Macaca fascicularis: one gene and its partner. The main gene of each other region encodes a partner of the protein of the gene in region 2 in a complex. Links are inferred from orthologs where the notes say so. Each region holds a gene or a part of one and is shown on either strand. Other genes may lie near its edges.

The links. The genes of interacting proteins can lie anywhere in the genome.
Region 1: the proteins of RIMS2 (region 2) and UNC13A are in contact, whole or in part, in a crystal structure (PDB 2CJS), measured with the Rattus norvegicus proteins. The link is inferred for Macaca fascicularis from reciprocal best matches to the Homo sapiens genes RIMS2 and UNC13A. Residues at the interface, in XP_063118965.1 of Rattus norvegicus: Asp102, Gly103, Cys104, Ser109, Gln112, Val123, Leu125, Ser127, Asn128, Lys129, Val134, Met135, Trp136; in NP_074052.2 of Rattus norvegicus: Tyr23, Ile36, Trp65, Leu69, Ile70, Trp71, Asp72, Thr73, Met74.

What each region holds. Positions count from the first base shown.
Region 1 is NC_088393.1:18,017,609-18,025,298, reverse strand, and holds the start of UNC13A (protein unc-13 homolog A), read left to right. Parts: upstream 1-2,428; 5' UTR 2,429-2,589; coding exon 2,590-2,611; intron 2,612-7,690. UniProt on the Homo sapiens protein: Plays a role in vesicle maturation during exocytosis as a target of the diacylglycerol second messenger pathway.
Region 2 is NC_088382.1:113,490,040-113,497,629, reverse strand, and holds part of RIMS2 (regulating synaptic membrane exocytosis protein 2), read right to left. Parts: intron 2,662-7,590; coding exon 1,736-2,661; intron 1-1,735. UniProt on the Homo sapiens protein: Rab effector involved in exocytosis. May act as scaffold protein. Plays a role in dendrite formation by melanocytes.

The sequences.
Region 1 (7,690 bases), on a different chromosome or scaffold from region 2:
TACAAACATAGTTACTATTAGGCATTAAGATTACAACTGGGGCCAGGCGTTTTGGGTCATTCGTGTAATCCCAGCATTTTGGGAGGCCAAGGTGGGTGCATCACTTGAGGTCAGGAGTTCAAGACCAGCCTGGCCAGCATGGTGAAACCCTGTCTCTACAAAAAACACACAAAAATTAGCCAGATGTGGTGGTGAGTGCCTGTAATCCCAGCTACTCAGGAGGCAGAGGCAGGAGGATCACTTGGAAGTGGAGGTTGCAGTGAGCTGAGATGGTGCCACTGCACTCCAGCCTGGGCTACAGGTTGAGATTCTGTCTCAAAAACAAAAAACAAAACAAAACAAAAAACTGGTTTTCACATGTTTTGTTTGTTTGTTTGAGATGGAGTCTTGCTCTGTTGCCCAGGCTGGAGTGCATTGGCGCCATCTCCGCTCACTGCAAGTTCTGCCTCCCAGGTTCATGCCATTCTCCTGCCTCAGCCTCCCGAGTAGCTGGGACTACAGGCGCCTGCCACCATGCCTGGCTAATTTTTTTTTTTTTTTTTTTTTTTGTATTTTTTAGTGGAGATGAGGTTTCACCATGTTAGCCAGAATGGTCTCAATCTCCTGACCTCATGATCTGCCTGCCTTGGCCTCCCAAAATGCTGGGATTACAGGCGTGAGCCACTGCTGCCGGCCTACAACTGGTTTCATATGTTTTTTTTTTTTTTTTGAGACGGAGTCTCGCTCTGCCACCCAGGCTGGAGTGCAGTGGCCGGATCTCAGCTCACTGCAAGCTCCGCCTCCCGGGTTCACGCCATTCTCCTGCCTCAGCCTCCGGAGTAGCTGGGACTACAGGCGCCCGCCACCGCGCCCGGCTAGTTTTTTGTATTTTTTAGTAGAGACGGGGTTTCACCGTGTTAGCCAGGATGGTCTCGATCTCCTGACCTCGTGATCCGCCCATCTCGGCCTCCCACAGTGCTGGGATTACAGGCTTGAGCCACCGCGCCCGGCCTGGTTTCATATGTTAACTCATGTAATACCTCCAGCAACCTTGTGAGGCAGGACTTGTTATCATACTCATTCTACAGGTGGGGAAACTGAGGCACAAAGAGGTCACATGACCTGCCCAAGGCCATGCTGGTGATGAGAGGCAGAGTTGGGTTTTGAACAATGGCCTCACTCAACTCCATGCACATTCTGCATTTATGAAGCTCTTTCATGTGGGCTGGGGGCAGGAGGCCCTGTGGGGCTCAGCCTTTCTTACTATTTTAGGTGCCAGTGATACAGCGAGCAGGTTGCAGGGCAAGGGGCCCACATGGAACTGCCCAGTTAGGTATGTGGGGAGGGGGCCAGGCACGGTGGCTTAGACCTGTAATCCTAGCACTTTGGGAGGCTGAGGTGGGCGGATCACCTGAGGTCAAGGGTTCAAGACCAGGTTGGCCAACATGGGGAAACCTCGTCTCTACTAAAAATACAAAAAAAAAAAAAAAAAAAAAAAAAAAAAAAGCTGGGCATGGTGGCACGCTCCTGTAGTCCCAGCTACTCGGGGAGGCTGAGGCAGGAGAATCGCTTGATCCCAGGAGGCAGAAGTTGCAGTGAGCCAAGATGTGCCACTCCAGCCTGGGCTACAGAGGGAGACTCCAACTAAAAAAAAAAAAAAAAGAGGGGAGGAATGGCAGAGTTTCACTGGGGTCAGGGCCCAATCAGAGGAAGGGATAGGGGCTGGGGGACTCCAGAGAGGAGAAACAAAGGCTCAGCTTGGGGCAGTCAGGGAAGGCTTCCTGGAGGAGAGGATATTCAGACAAGACATTGATGGATGAATAGGAGTTTTCCAGTTACACAGTGGCATGAAGGGTGGGATCCAGTCAGAGTGTGGGTAAGGACCCATGGGCTGGGTGGCTTAGAGACACAGAGAGAGACCTAGACAGGATGCAGTAGACCTGCAAAAAGACTGTGCAGAGAGAGGCTAAGAGACACATGACTGAGAGAGAGCAGTGGACAGAGTCAGAGGAACAGAGACCCAGGGAGAGAAAGAGACCAGTCAGCAGAGTCAGAGACACCGAGAGGTAGAGACAGAGGAAGAGAGATACTCAGGAACAGGACGATCTGCTTCGTGCTGGTGCCGGGTGTACACACAAGAGCTTGCGTTTGCCTGTACTTGCTTGAGTATTGCAGGGAGGAGTTTGCCTAGGTTACCAGGGCAGGAATGTCCATGCATAGGTCGGGGGGACACGTGCACCATTTCAGTGCAGGTGGGGGTCTGCACGGGAGGAAACCTGCTTGGGGGCCGCCCTCGCCCCTTGTCCCACCTGCAACGAGGAGGTTTGGGGCGGGGCGCCCCTTTCCGGAGCCAGGCCCTTTAACGCCCCCCCAGCCCGCAGCGCCCCCGCCCCATCAGGCGTCCCTGGGCTCCGCCTGCCCGCCCCGCATCGGCGCCACGTCAGGCGCTGTCCGCGCCCCCGGTGCTGAACCAAGATGGCCGGTGGCGGCCGGGCCCCGGCGTGAGCCAAGCGCGGGCTGCAGCCGGGAGATGCCCCAGCCCAGCGGCCGCTGAGCCCGACCCGACAGAGCCGGCCCGGCCGCCTCCGGTCCGCCTGCGAGCCCGGAGACATGTCTCTGCTGTGCGTTGGAGGTAGGAGGCGAGGCTGGGGGTCGGGGTACCCGTTTGGACGCGGGCTGGGCTCGGGGTCCGCATGGATGCGGCTCCTAGGGGGATCCTGGGGGGTGGCCCGAGTCCAGGCGGCTGGACTTTTGAGAGGGGTAGCCCTTGTCGACGCAGCAGGGCCCCGGAAGGGATGATCCGTGTAGACACGGCAGGGCTCTCGGGGGTCCTGGTGGCCGCTGCTGGAGGGGTCGTGTGGATGCGGCTGAACGCGGAGGCCCGTGTGGACGTGGACGGGGATCCGGGGTTCTACCTGGAAACGATTTAGACTGGGGCGTCTGTGTAGACCGGGTTTTTAGAGGGTCAGTGAGGAAGAGTATGGGCTGGGTGGTTTGATTGAAGCCTGCAGGGGTACTTGGAAGGGATCTGGTGTTGTGGGCTGGGTTGCGGGTCCTCATGGACGCGGACCCGGCTGGAAATTCGAAGGAGAGTGCGGCGGGAGGGTTCTCCAAGCCGTGGGGATGTAAGATATGGGTAGAGGGGCTTGGCCATCAGGACATCCACGAGTTCTAGGACTCTCCCAGCCCTGGGTGTAAAGAGGACTGGAGTGGGGGGAGTGTGGAGACAGGAGACCCCTCCCAACGTCCAGAGAGGGCTGTGACTGGGGGTCTGGGGGCGCTTTTCCAGTTAACTCTTTGGTCTCCCGAGTGAGGGGGTTGGAGGAATGGCCAGAAGGTCTTCCCGCTCCCTGCCCCCTCCGGTTCTCCCAAACACGTTTCAGGGCCTTCTTGGCAGGGAGCCTACTTCTTGGAAGAGCAATGTCCCCTGGTCCCCCTCCCGGCCCATCCTCACCTCACCCACTTTGCGCTGGAGAGAGGGAGGGAGGGAGACGTGGGGTGGCGGGGGGAGCTATTTTGGGGCCAGAACGCCATCTGCACAGAGGCCCACGCCCAGGCCCACGCTATGCGTTGGGGTTGGGGGAGGGAGGGAGACGTGGGAGGGGCATGACCCCCTACCCCACACCTTTATGGCTCTGGGGTTGGGGAGAAGCCAGCCCACCCGAACCCAGGCGTTCTGGGCACTCCTGTTTGAGAACTCAAGCTCTGGGAGACCTTGGGCGGCAAGGGTGGAGGTGGACCGCCGTTCAACGCTTACAGAGCTCTGAACCCCTGGTTCTTAAGGACTGGGGTCCCCCCATCACTCCCACCTACTTCAAGAAGGCTGGGGTGGGGGAAGGGGTGTGTCGGCCAAGCCTGAGACGGCAGGCTTCGGGAGACCTGGAGCGACAGGAAGCGTGTGTGTGCTGAACTCCTGCTGCCTGGACCCAGGGTGGGCAGGCCTGGGATCCGGGAACCGCCCCCGCTGCCCCTCCTCCTCCCTCCCCTCCCCCTCGGCCGCTTCATTCACAAACCCTGCCCCGCCCGCCCGCTCCCCGCCGCGGCGGCTTCCGAGTGCAAATCAGGCCGGGATGGGCCGGCGTGGACGCGGGTGTTCTTAAAGGGACAGGGGCCTCCTTTCTCTAAGCTCGTTTCTGCTGGACGGGGCTGGGGGTGGTGGAAGAAGGGTCCCTAGAGTCAAAGGTCAACTCTTTCAGCCCCTAGCCTCCAGGCTTATGGAGTTAAGGGAGTAGGGAAGTGAAGGAGACCCCTAGGTGGCCTCCACCGCCTAGGCCTGAGGACGGAATGGGAGGAGAACTTGAATGTCCAGACCCCCTACTGACCTCTCCCCCTGCCCTAAGTAGCCGGGCTCTTAGAGGCGGCACTGGAGGAGGTTCCGACGTGGGTGTTCCTGGCAGACTCCTCTGTCCTCTCTCTTCTCCCCCCAGCATCCCGCCCCACCCCGCCTCACATCCTTCAAGTTGGGCTTCTCTGGAAGGTTTGCCTAGTGGAGTGAGGGGGGTGGGGATCTCACCCTTAACTCTGACGCAAACAGGAGGCTCGGCTGCGGGGGTGGCATTAAGGGGGGGCAGCAGGAGGCAAGAGGGATGAGGCTTCCAGAAACAGAGACGTGGGGGGAGGACTGTGCTGGATTCTGTGGACCTTATAGAGAGGGACACAGCTGAGTGGAGAGGAATTGCTGGGAGGGGCAAGGCTGGGGAAGAGGTTGACGGGGGTGGGAGGTAAGGCCCTGAGGTGTAAAGGGAGGTGTGAGGTTGGAGTGAGGAGGAGTAGGAGGCAGGGAGGGGTGGGGAGAAGAAGAAGTGCTGGGTGAGGCCAGTCTCCCAGGAAGAGGTGGGACGGTGCCCAGAGAGAGGAGGGGCTGGGATGGTTGAGCAGGAGAGATGGGGAGTGTTGGGGTGGGCTTGGCAGGAGTAAAGCTAGGCTGAGATGCGTTGATGTGTTGCCTGAGCTCAGTTGAGGAAATACCTGCCCCGCCTCCCCTCCACCGGGGACCCACAGGCGTTTGCCAATCCCTACACACATTCATACCCAGACTTGTTCCTGTGTGGACACAAACGCTTAGGATGCACGAAGGCTCCACGCAGACCACGTGCCTGGGAAGGCGCATTCCATAGGCACACGTGTGTACTCAAACGCCTGTGTGAACACAAGCATATACATGTATATAGGACACAGTCTGCCACTACAGATATAGTCCTGGCAACACATGTGTGAGTGTGTGTGTGTGTCTGCCAGCACGCATATAGATGTATCCACGTGTGTCTGATGAATGTTCACAATATACATGTCACATAAAGATCCATTCATGTCCAGCTGAGCGCAGTGGCTCAGGCCTGTAATCTCATCACTTTGACTTTGGGAGGCCAAGGTGGGCAGATCACTTGAGGTCAGGAGTTCAAGACCAGCTTGGCCAACATGGTAAAACTCTGTCTCTACTAAAAAAATACAAAAAATTAGCCAGGCTTGGTGGCGTGCTCCTGAGGAAGGAGAATCACTTGAATATGGGAGGTGGAGGCTGCAGTGAGCTGAGATCCTGCCACTGTACTCCAGCCTGGGCAACAGAGTGAGACTCTGTCTCAAAAAAAGAGATTCACTCATGTCCTAACGCTCAGACATGTACCCATAAATATCTGTTAAGGTCCCCAACCCCATGAAGCACACATATATTCATATAAGCATATGTCAAAGCCATGTGTGTACGCACATGACAACACTTGCCTGGACATTCAAACCACCCCCTTTCAACAAGTGGATGATGATGCATACAAGTAAATACACATTTGAGTATTTCATTGCACACAAGTGCATACATGTATGCATATAAACAAATACAGCTGCCACAGAACTGCATCCATGTACACGTGCAAACATCAATATGTGTGTTTTCCACCTATCACCCACAAGCTCACACACACCAGTGTGTCTCTGATGTAGTGACACCCCACTCCCAGACACACATGTGCAGACTCCCACCTGCACTGAAATGGTGCACATACCCTGCACACATGCACGCTCATATCCATGTACAGGCAGGCGCCTGCCTGCTCTGGTAAGATAAGCCAACTACTGCTGCAAATATCCAAGCAAGTATAGGCAAATGCAAGCTCTTGTGTATACACCCAGCACCAACACATAGCAGACCACCCTGTATGATTCATGGGCCTTATTTTTGCCCCCTTCATTTACTTATCCACGTGGAGTCCCGCTGCTCCCCAACATTTTAATCCACTCGCGAGGTCCTGGCAGGATCCTGAGGCTGTGAATGGCAAATGCTACCTGGTTCCTTCGTGGAGTCACTCATTTTATTTATGCAACAAGCATTAATTGAGCATCAACTGTATACCAGCCACTGTTCCTGGCTCTGGGGACCCAACCCTATTCCTATTCACCACCCATGCACCTCCCATGGAGTTAGAATGAAAGAGGTGAGGGAGGGCTAAGGGAGCTGAGGAGTGGGGTATCCAGGGCTCTCTTCCTCTGGGAAGCCTGCCCTGATTGCACCACCACCACCATTTATTTGAGTCTCAGAAGATGTGATGAGGGAGAGATTAGCAGGAGGGAGATGATGCTCTGGGTGGAGGGAACAGCATGAGCAAAACCATGGTGGTGTGAAAGGTCAGTTCCAGATCTTCCTATGTGCTTCACAGCATTTTGCACAGACCACTTGATGTTTTGTTTTGTTTTGAGACAGAGTCTCACTCAAAACTTGTTACTCAGGCTGCAGTGCAGTGGCACGATCTCAGCTTGCTGCAGCCTTGACCTCCAGGGCTCAAGCGATCCTCCCGCCTCAGCCTCCCAAGTAGCTGGGACTACAGGCATGCACCACCACACCCGGCTAACTTTTATTTTTATTTTTTTATTTTTTGCAGAAACAGGGTTTTGCCCTGTTGCCCAGGCTGGTCTTGAACTCCTGGGCTCAAGTGATTCGCCCTCCTCAGCTTCCCAAAGTGCTAGGATTACAGGTGTGAGCCACCACACCAACTGATGTTTTAAAGGCTCTATAAACATTTTATGAATAAATGACATGAACAAATCAGTGAATTTAGGTGAGGGCAGGTTTGCTTCACAACTTACAATAATATCAACAACAAACTCCATTTATCCAGCTTTTGTTTGTTTGTTTGTTTTGTTTTTTAGAGACACAGTCTCACTGTGTCACCCAGGCTGGAATGCAGTGGTGTGATTTCGGCTCACTGAAACCTCCACCTTCTGGGTTCAAGCGATTCTCCTGCCTCAGCCTCCCAAGTAGCTGGGATTACAGGCATGTGCCACCACGCCCAGCTAATTTTTGTATTTTTAGTAGAGATGGGGTTTCTCATTTCTACTAAAAATACAAATACATCTCTAGTGGCCAAGCTAGTCTCGAACTCCTGACTTCAAGTGATCCTCCTGCCTTGGCCTCCCAGTGTGCTGGGATTACAGGCTCGAGCCACTGTGCCTGGCCCAGCATTTCATAGGCACAATGTTGAGGATTTTTATGCCCATGCCCTCTTTAACTCTCACAGTAGCCCTATTGTACAGATGAGGAAAACTGAGACTCAGGGAGCTTTAACAACTTGCCTGGTGTAACAAAGCCAGAGGTGGAGCTGACTGACTCCAGAGCCTACTGGGGTTGGCAGAAGAAGGTTGAGCCTTCTGTCAGCCCCCAGGACCTGGGAGACAGCCAAGTCCCTTCTGTGGGGTGAGGATCTGCCCTGGGATAGCCTTC
Region 2 (7,590 bases):
TCTAGAATGTTATTAACTCCAAGAGATTATCTGCAAAGAGCTTGCATCTTTATACTACTTAGCCTTCCTAATTAGGAACCGCTACTCACATCTTCCTTATGCTACTCAGTAAAATTTTACGGCTCTTCCTGTAGGCCCCTCATTTCTTGTTAGTTATTTTTATATCACAGTTTTTATTTTTAATTCAGAATGGAAACTCTCAATTTATGTGTTCTAGCTAATTATTTTGGTACAGTATAAAATGATTCCATAATCATTTCATACCTAGCTCTGTTCTTGAATATCCCTTGTGATTCCTGTTGATTCTATAAAGAAAAAATTGACTATTCATCAAATGGTATAAGGAAATTGGGAGTAGGAGGTCGGTATGATACTCATCAATCTGGGATATTTTTCTCATATTCCAAAATAAATTCCAGAATGTTTAAAAAGTTAATGGTTAAAAAATAATTTAAAAATGACATAATATACAGTTAAATACTTAATTGATTTGGAAGTGAATAAAGAGCTTTTAAAGATGAAAATAATGGAAAAAAATCACCAAATACAAAGGTTTAGCTACATTAAATTCAATAGTTTCAAATAAACAAAGTAAAATACTAGGTAAACATTAAAATGAGAAATGTATTTGGCAAATAACAGTTAAATGGGGTGAAATCCTAACTATATAAAAAGCGCTTTTAAATCAATAAGAGAAAAACTAATACCCAGAGAAAGAAGGGCAGAAAGAATTAAAGGAATGAACAGATAATTCACAGAAGATATCAAATGCAGATAAACGTATAAAACATTCAACTTTACAATCAAATTCAAATTAAAATGACAAAGAGAGCATTTTTGTGGCTATTCAATTGGCAAAGATTTGGTGAATTGAGACTGAAAACTTAAGTACATCTGACAAGAGTAAAGCATGTTACAACCTTTTTGGAAAGCAATTTGGTAATCTGAATTAAAGCTTAAAATAATCCAAAGTACGAATATATATTTTTGAAATACTCAAGAGATGTAGGCAAAAAGTATGTATAAAGATAACCATTATAATTTACATTGGCAAATGGAAGCCACGGCAATGCCCCAAATAAAGAAATATTTAGTTTGTGGTATAATCTTATGATAGAATGTTAGTGTAGCTATTTAAAATGTATTACTAAAGAACATCTAATGGTTTGGGGAAAAACCACTTATGATGTGATAACAATTGAAAGCATCAGTATACAAAATTATACATAGCAAGATACCAATTTTATAAATCTATAAACCATACATTCATAGGAAAAAAAAAAGAAGGAAAATACAATAAAAGGTTAACAATGGTTATATCGGGGGAAAGAAATACGGATAACTTGCATTTCATTCTTTATGCTTTGAAGACTTTTTCAGATGTTTTATAGTGAACATATTGTTACTTTTATAAGGAGACAAAAAATTAATGTTATTTTTAAAACTACAGTTAATGGATATTTTTGAAATATGCTGCCAAGTGATACAAGAAAACTTTCAGAAACAAAGCAAGAAAGCAATTTTTAAAAATCAATAGAACATCATTCTGTTGTTCTTATACCTGAACAACAGAAGATACTTTTTATAACATGAAGTTTTCTTCACACGTTCGATACCATCAAAAGACTTTTAAAATAAAGCTAGTAATACCTATTACATTTTCACTCAGAAATACAACCTATAAAAAAAAGCTTATCTAATCAATTACAGCAAAATGTGTAATTAGAAAGCTTACCTTTTTCACTTACACTCTCACTTTCAATCTCAACATCATCACAACTTGTATATTCGGGCGTGGAAGCCAATTCCTCCTCTGAACTGCTCAACGAAACCTGGCGCATTTTACCTCCTTTCTTCGATTTATGAGGCTTTGGTGGGGGAGGTCTCACTGACTCTGACTGGTCTGAACTGAGAGAATCATTCCTTAACATTGTTTCCATTTTTTCCCGTTTCGTTTTTCTTACAGCAGAGCTAGGATCTAAGTGGTGCTGTTTCCGTAGTGAGTCAGTACGCCTCAAGTCTGGTCTATCTATGGGTAGCGGACTCCTCCTAGGGGTAGGAGGACTATGGTTTGTGGTCCTTTGTGCATAAGAACTTGGTCCCTGAGCCTCTCGAGTTCTTTCCATTGAATAAGATCGCTGATTTTCCATGGCAGCTCTACGTTCAGATATAGATCTTTGCCTTGATGGTCGGTCCATCCTTAGCATAGAAATCCTGGAATCTTCCAGGTCAGCATTTGCCAAAGAAACATCACTATGCCTTCTCTCATGCCGTGCCCGGGACACTTCAGCATGGATCCGCATTTGTTCTTCATAGGGTTGTGGCTTTACTGGATAACGGGCCAAATTTGGATCACTTCGGTAGCGTGACTGGTACTCTTCCTCTCTCCTTTGTCTTTCGTATTCATCTCTACTTTCCACATCCTCATCATCTACAATATATTCTTTGGAATGCCTATGACTTCTCCTGTTGGAGTCCCTATAACTTAAATGATCAGAGTCTTCATAAAACTGAGGTTCATGTTGAGATCGCCTATCAGCATAATCTGATGGAGATCTAGGCATTGCGCTATCCGAAGTAGCATACTGTGAATATTCCTCTCTTTCTTCCCTTTGGTCGTATCTTCTATTCTGATCTCTGGACACAGATGGGCTTCTTTTCCTAAGTAACCAAAGGAAAAGAACAATGAGAAGAGCAAAAATTTATCAATTTTACATTTCATTGATTTGCTGGCAGGTTGATGGATAACTAAGTAGTCCTTTTGCCTTTTTAAAATTTCATTTTAAAGGCATACCAAAACAATGGTTTTAGTAGTATTCATTATATTAAGTTCAAATAAGTACTTTGTTGTGGTTATTAAGTGCCTGCAACACTATATCTGGAATATGCTTATGCTCCAAAATTAGGTAATATGCTATTCCACTGCTATAAAATAGCCTTTATTCTAATTTCCTTGCTTGGCTTGCTACATACACTTCCAGTATCCACCAACTATTATTCAGCAGCTTAGAAAAATATTTTCTTCCATCTGCTCTATACCTAACATATTATGAAAGTTACCTGAAAATGTAATGAAGCCAAACTGATTTGGCTCAAGAGTTGAATACTTTCTGACTAAAACTAAGTGCTGGCTCTTAAAAATCGTTTTCATTCATCATCTGTCTAGTTCATTCCTAGTATTGGTTCACCTAAATTTTCATTTTATCATCATGTCTCCAACATTTTTTAATCGATCTAACTTGAGATAAGCAATTTAAATAGATAAATAATAATGATCCACTCATTACAAAAATCCTAGAAATCAGAAAAACTGCTATTTTTATTCCATCTTCATTTAGATTAAGGCCAGCTTGGTGATATTATTCTACTAAGTCTCTACATCTGACCCCTCATATTTCCTTATAGTCTCAGAAGAAGAAACTGCCTATTACGTTCTCAACTTACCCTTCTAACACTGGTAAAACCTAGTGAACCTTGCAATCACACATAATACCCTGTTAACAAAATATTCACACCAACCTTTTCTCTGGAATAAACTCAGATAATATCAACTATTAGTCATGAAAAGCAATAGGATTAGAATCCTGAAGATAACAGAAAAGGTTTAGAAAACTATTATGGGGATTTTGCCAGGACATGAACAGCAGATAATGAAAGAGTGAAGTCAGTTGAAGTTAAAGATGACTAAGATTCAACAGTCCAGTTGGGAATTTCTTAGTCAATGGTTTATTAGTCCAAAAGCAAGAACAGAGAAAGGACAGAGTAGAATGACCCAACCTGGAAAAATCAGCACTCTTCTCTAATATCTCCCCTGGGTCACAGAATCTTTTTCCCTCATATTTGGAATACAGTCTGCCAATCTATCAATTAGGTTCACTAACAAAAACAGAAGTTATTCTAGGTTTTCCAGGTAGGAAGGGTTTTAATTCAGGAACCAGAAGCTACACAATGGTTGAATGGGCTACAGGAATGAAAGCCAGGAAAGTTAATGCTGATGATCTTAGCCTGAAGATGCAGAGACAAGGGTTCTCAAAATGGACATTAGAAAGCTGCTATGAATGCCAAGAGTCTATGGACATCTGCCAGCAATTATTTCAACCACCTAAAGCATCAGGGTGGCCAATTAACAGGAGTTTGCCCAGGAGCCACTAAGACTTTTATATCTGCCCATCTGCTAGCCAACAACTAGCGCATGACAATAATGGCTTCTGTATATCCTCCACCTTTCAAATCTTAGGTAAGTACAAAGCCAGGATAAACTCTAACCTGGAACTATAAAGGAATAACTACTGTAGAAAGTGAAAAAATTAGTCTATCCCTTAAATGTTTCATAATTAAGAAAGTGGATATGACATTTTTTAGCATTTACATTTATATATAAAACATTTAGGACTTAATTACAAATCTTTTAGATTACAATTGTTACATAAAACCATAGATTCCTACAGTTTAAAATTTACAATCAAAACAAAACATTAAAAAAAATTTATAGTAACACCCTATGTTTGTGTGTATATGTGTGTGTACACTGTGCATCATTCATTTTACTTTTGTCATTACTTTTATACATTTGACTAAAAAAAAAAATACTCTGGCATGATAGTAGTCTATCATGAAAAGAACACCAGATTTAAGGAATCTACAGTTCTTAGTCATACTTTTGCAATTAGCCAGTTATTTCAAACTATATAACCATTAAATCCTTAGGAGTTTGTGCTTTAAATTGAGAGACATAGATTTTACATGTTAACTCATATATTACTTTAACAAACATATATTAGGTAAGAAATAAATGCCACACACTATCATATAAATTAGGAATACAGAAATGATTAAGACACATTCCTTGTTCTTAAGAGGGTGAATGATTCTGAAACCATCTTCCATTTCATAGGTAGTATGATTTTATTGATACCACAAATTCATCAAGTTAATAAGCCTACATGAAAGCTTAATGCATTAAGGATTTCCCATAATATATTTAATGCAAACTGAGTATAGAAGTACGAAAAAAAAGGAACACTTCATTCCTATCTTAAAGAATTAACATGAATTTTTGAAAGTAGAGTATAAAGTGAATACAGTATATTTTATCTTACTGATAAATATTTATTTCCTATTAAGGACTTCAGTTCCAAGAGAAAGGTTATTAATAATTAGTTCCTAGCAAGCCATCTAGGTACTTTTTAAAAATCATACCTTAGGAAAATTGAATTCATTGTTAAATCTAGCAATCACATTGTTCTAGAGATTATGAAATTTGCCAGAAATATGTGAATCATACTGTAGATGTCGATTTGTACTGGATTTAAGATTATAACCACTATAAAAAATAGAACAGTGGTTATAATCGGAAATTGGGATGACTATTGTCACTGTTACAAAGACTTAGGTTTTCAAAAATACACTTTAAGGTATAGTACTTTACAGTATATTAACACTATGCGAGAAACAAGGCACGATTTCATTCTAACAATATATGTATCAAACAATGAAGAACCTGCAATCAATTATTTCTAAATGATAAATATTCTATCAAATAATTTTTACCAACTATATTATGAATTACTTCATATATACTGTCCTTTAAATTTTAAACTTCTATATTTCATGATACTATATTCCTTTCAGGAACTAAATAAAATCAATGTAAATTCAAGTAATGTGTTTCTAGTCTATATCTTTGCTACCAGCCTTTATAAACAAGACTTAGCATTTATCATCATCAGGTGGAAAACATTTAATAGATAAAACAATATCATTGATAATTTATACATTTCTCTAAAGAACCATAAGGCATTTAGCAGTATTTAATTCATCTATTATAATACAAAGGAAAAGGAACGATTCATCTAGGATTTTACATTTCACTTAATCCTTCAAAGACCCTGAGAAATTAAGAGGCAGAATCCAAAATTATGCCTTTCTTTAGTATAAAATGTGTTTGTGGCATCATATAGTGCCTTAATCTTTAATCCTATGCATTCTATCAATCCCTATTTCTGTTATAACAATATCAGTATATATTTATATTCACTTTATATTTATCTAATATCGATTCACTTCTCTTTACTGCCACCTGCATTGTTAGAATTGTTTTCTCTTTCACCATAGTATTCTCTCCTTAATTAGAAACAGTTTATAGAAAACCACATTTTAAACATCCTAAATCTACTGTAATAAGTATCATTTCTACTCCTTGCTTACAGTTGTTTGTCATGTGGACTATTCAATCTATTTCTAAATATTCTAGCTTGTATAACACATCTGATGCTCCATTATAAATGTTATTCTAACTATGCAAAATAGTATGCATAGGAAATCCTACCAATTAGACTCCTTAAATTCCATGTCCAAAAAGCATACTGACTGATGGGAAAACTCCAATGAAGCTTCTTTCCCAATTAAAATCACTTCCAGATTTCCCAAAGGCATCCAGGGTTTATATGCCATAAATTAATTCATCATGTTTTTACCATAACTTCCATTTTAACATTTACAGGCTTTACCATCTTAAGTGATTTGTGTTACTAATACCACCTATAATACTGACCATATTGATAAAATAATAATCAAATCTCTGAAAATATAGTCTGATGAACATTTGAAAACATTTATAAACGTTGAAAAATTACATGGAAACCTACATTGTAATATTTACATATTTTAACTCAACTGAAGAAATATGCAATTTTTAAAAATTATAACACTGGAAATACAGTGCAGAATTTGAAGATTACTAATTTTTGTAAATTCAAATTTTACATTAAATTAAGTACTACCTATATGAAAATTTTTGTGACTCATAAGCATTAATAGTAGAGATCATTAAAAAATTGTTACTTTATAAATAAAAAGATGTAAATCACACTTGAAAAATCAATAACCTGAAAAAAATACCTACTTGTTTTTAAAAATCTTTATAAAGCACGGATATTGCTAAATAAACTAATATAATACTTCATGAATACAATTACACAATGCTAACTAACCATACAGTTTAAATGTAACATTGCAACAAAATTCTAAAATTTTAAGCTGTTAAAACACATTAAATCAAGGATTTAACAGAAGTATATGATCCTGTAAAACATGAAAACAAAGGCCCATTTCTATAATTCCTACAAAAAGCTTTTAATAAATCAATTTATATTTATAAAAAATCAAAAATATAGAAATTTTTACATATCACAATTAATATTTAATCTATTTTTATTGTTTTACCTTTGTTCAACCAATGCACATCTGTCGAGCATGAAGCATCATGTTGACAAAAATACATCAACAGTGTGCCAGGCAGTGCTTTCATTTAATCCTTCTAGCCCTGGCAAAATCATAGAAGCCATCCTTAATCAGACGATTTGAAAGTCTCTACTTGCTAACAATTGTTTTATTTCAAAACTCAGTTACTAAAAAATTACACAAAAACAACACTCATTCAAGGATGGAGTCATAGAATCCTCTAGTGATGGGTCTGTTAAGAAAAAGGTTATTCTTTAATGCTGTTACTATGTGGCTGTATATAGCTCCAGATCAAGTAAGAATGTACCCTGTAAGGAGGATTATGGTACTTAGCTGATTAGTGCCTCA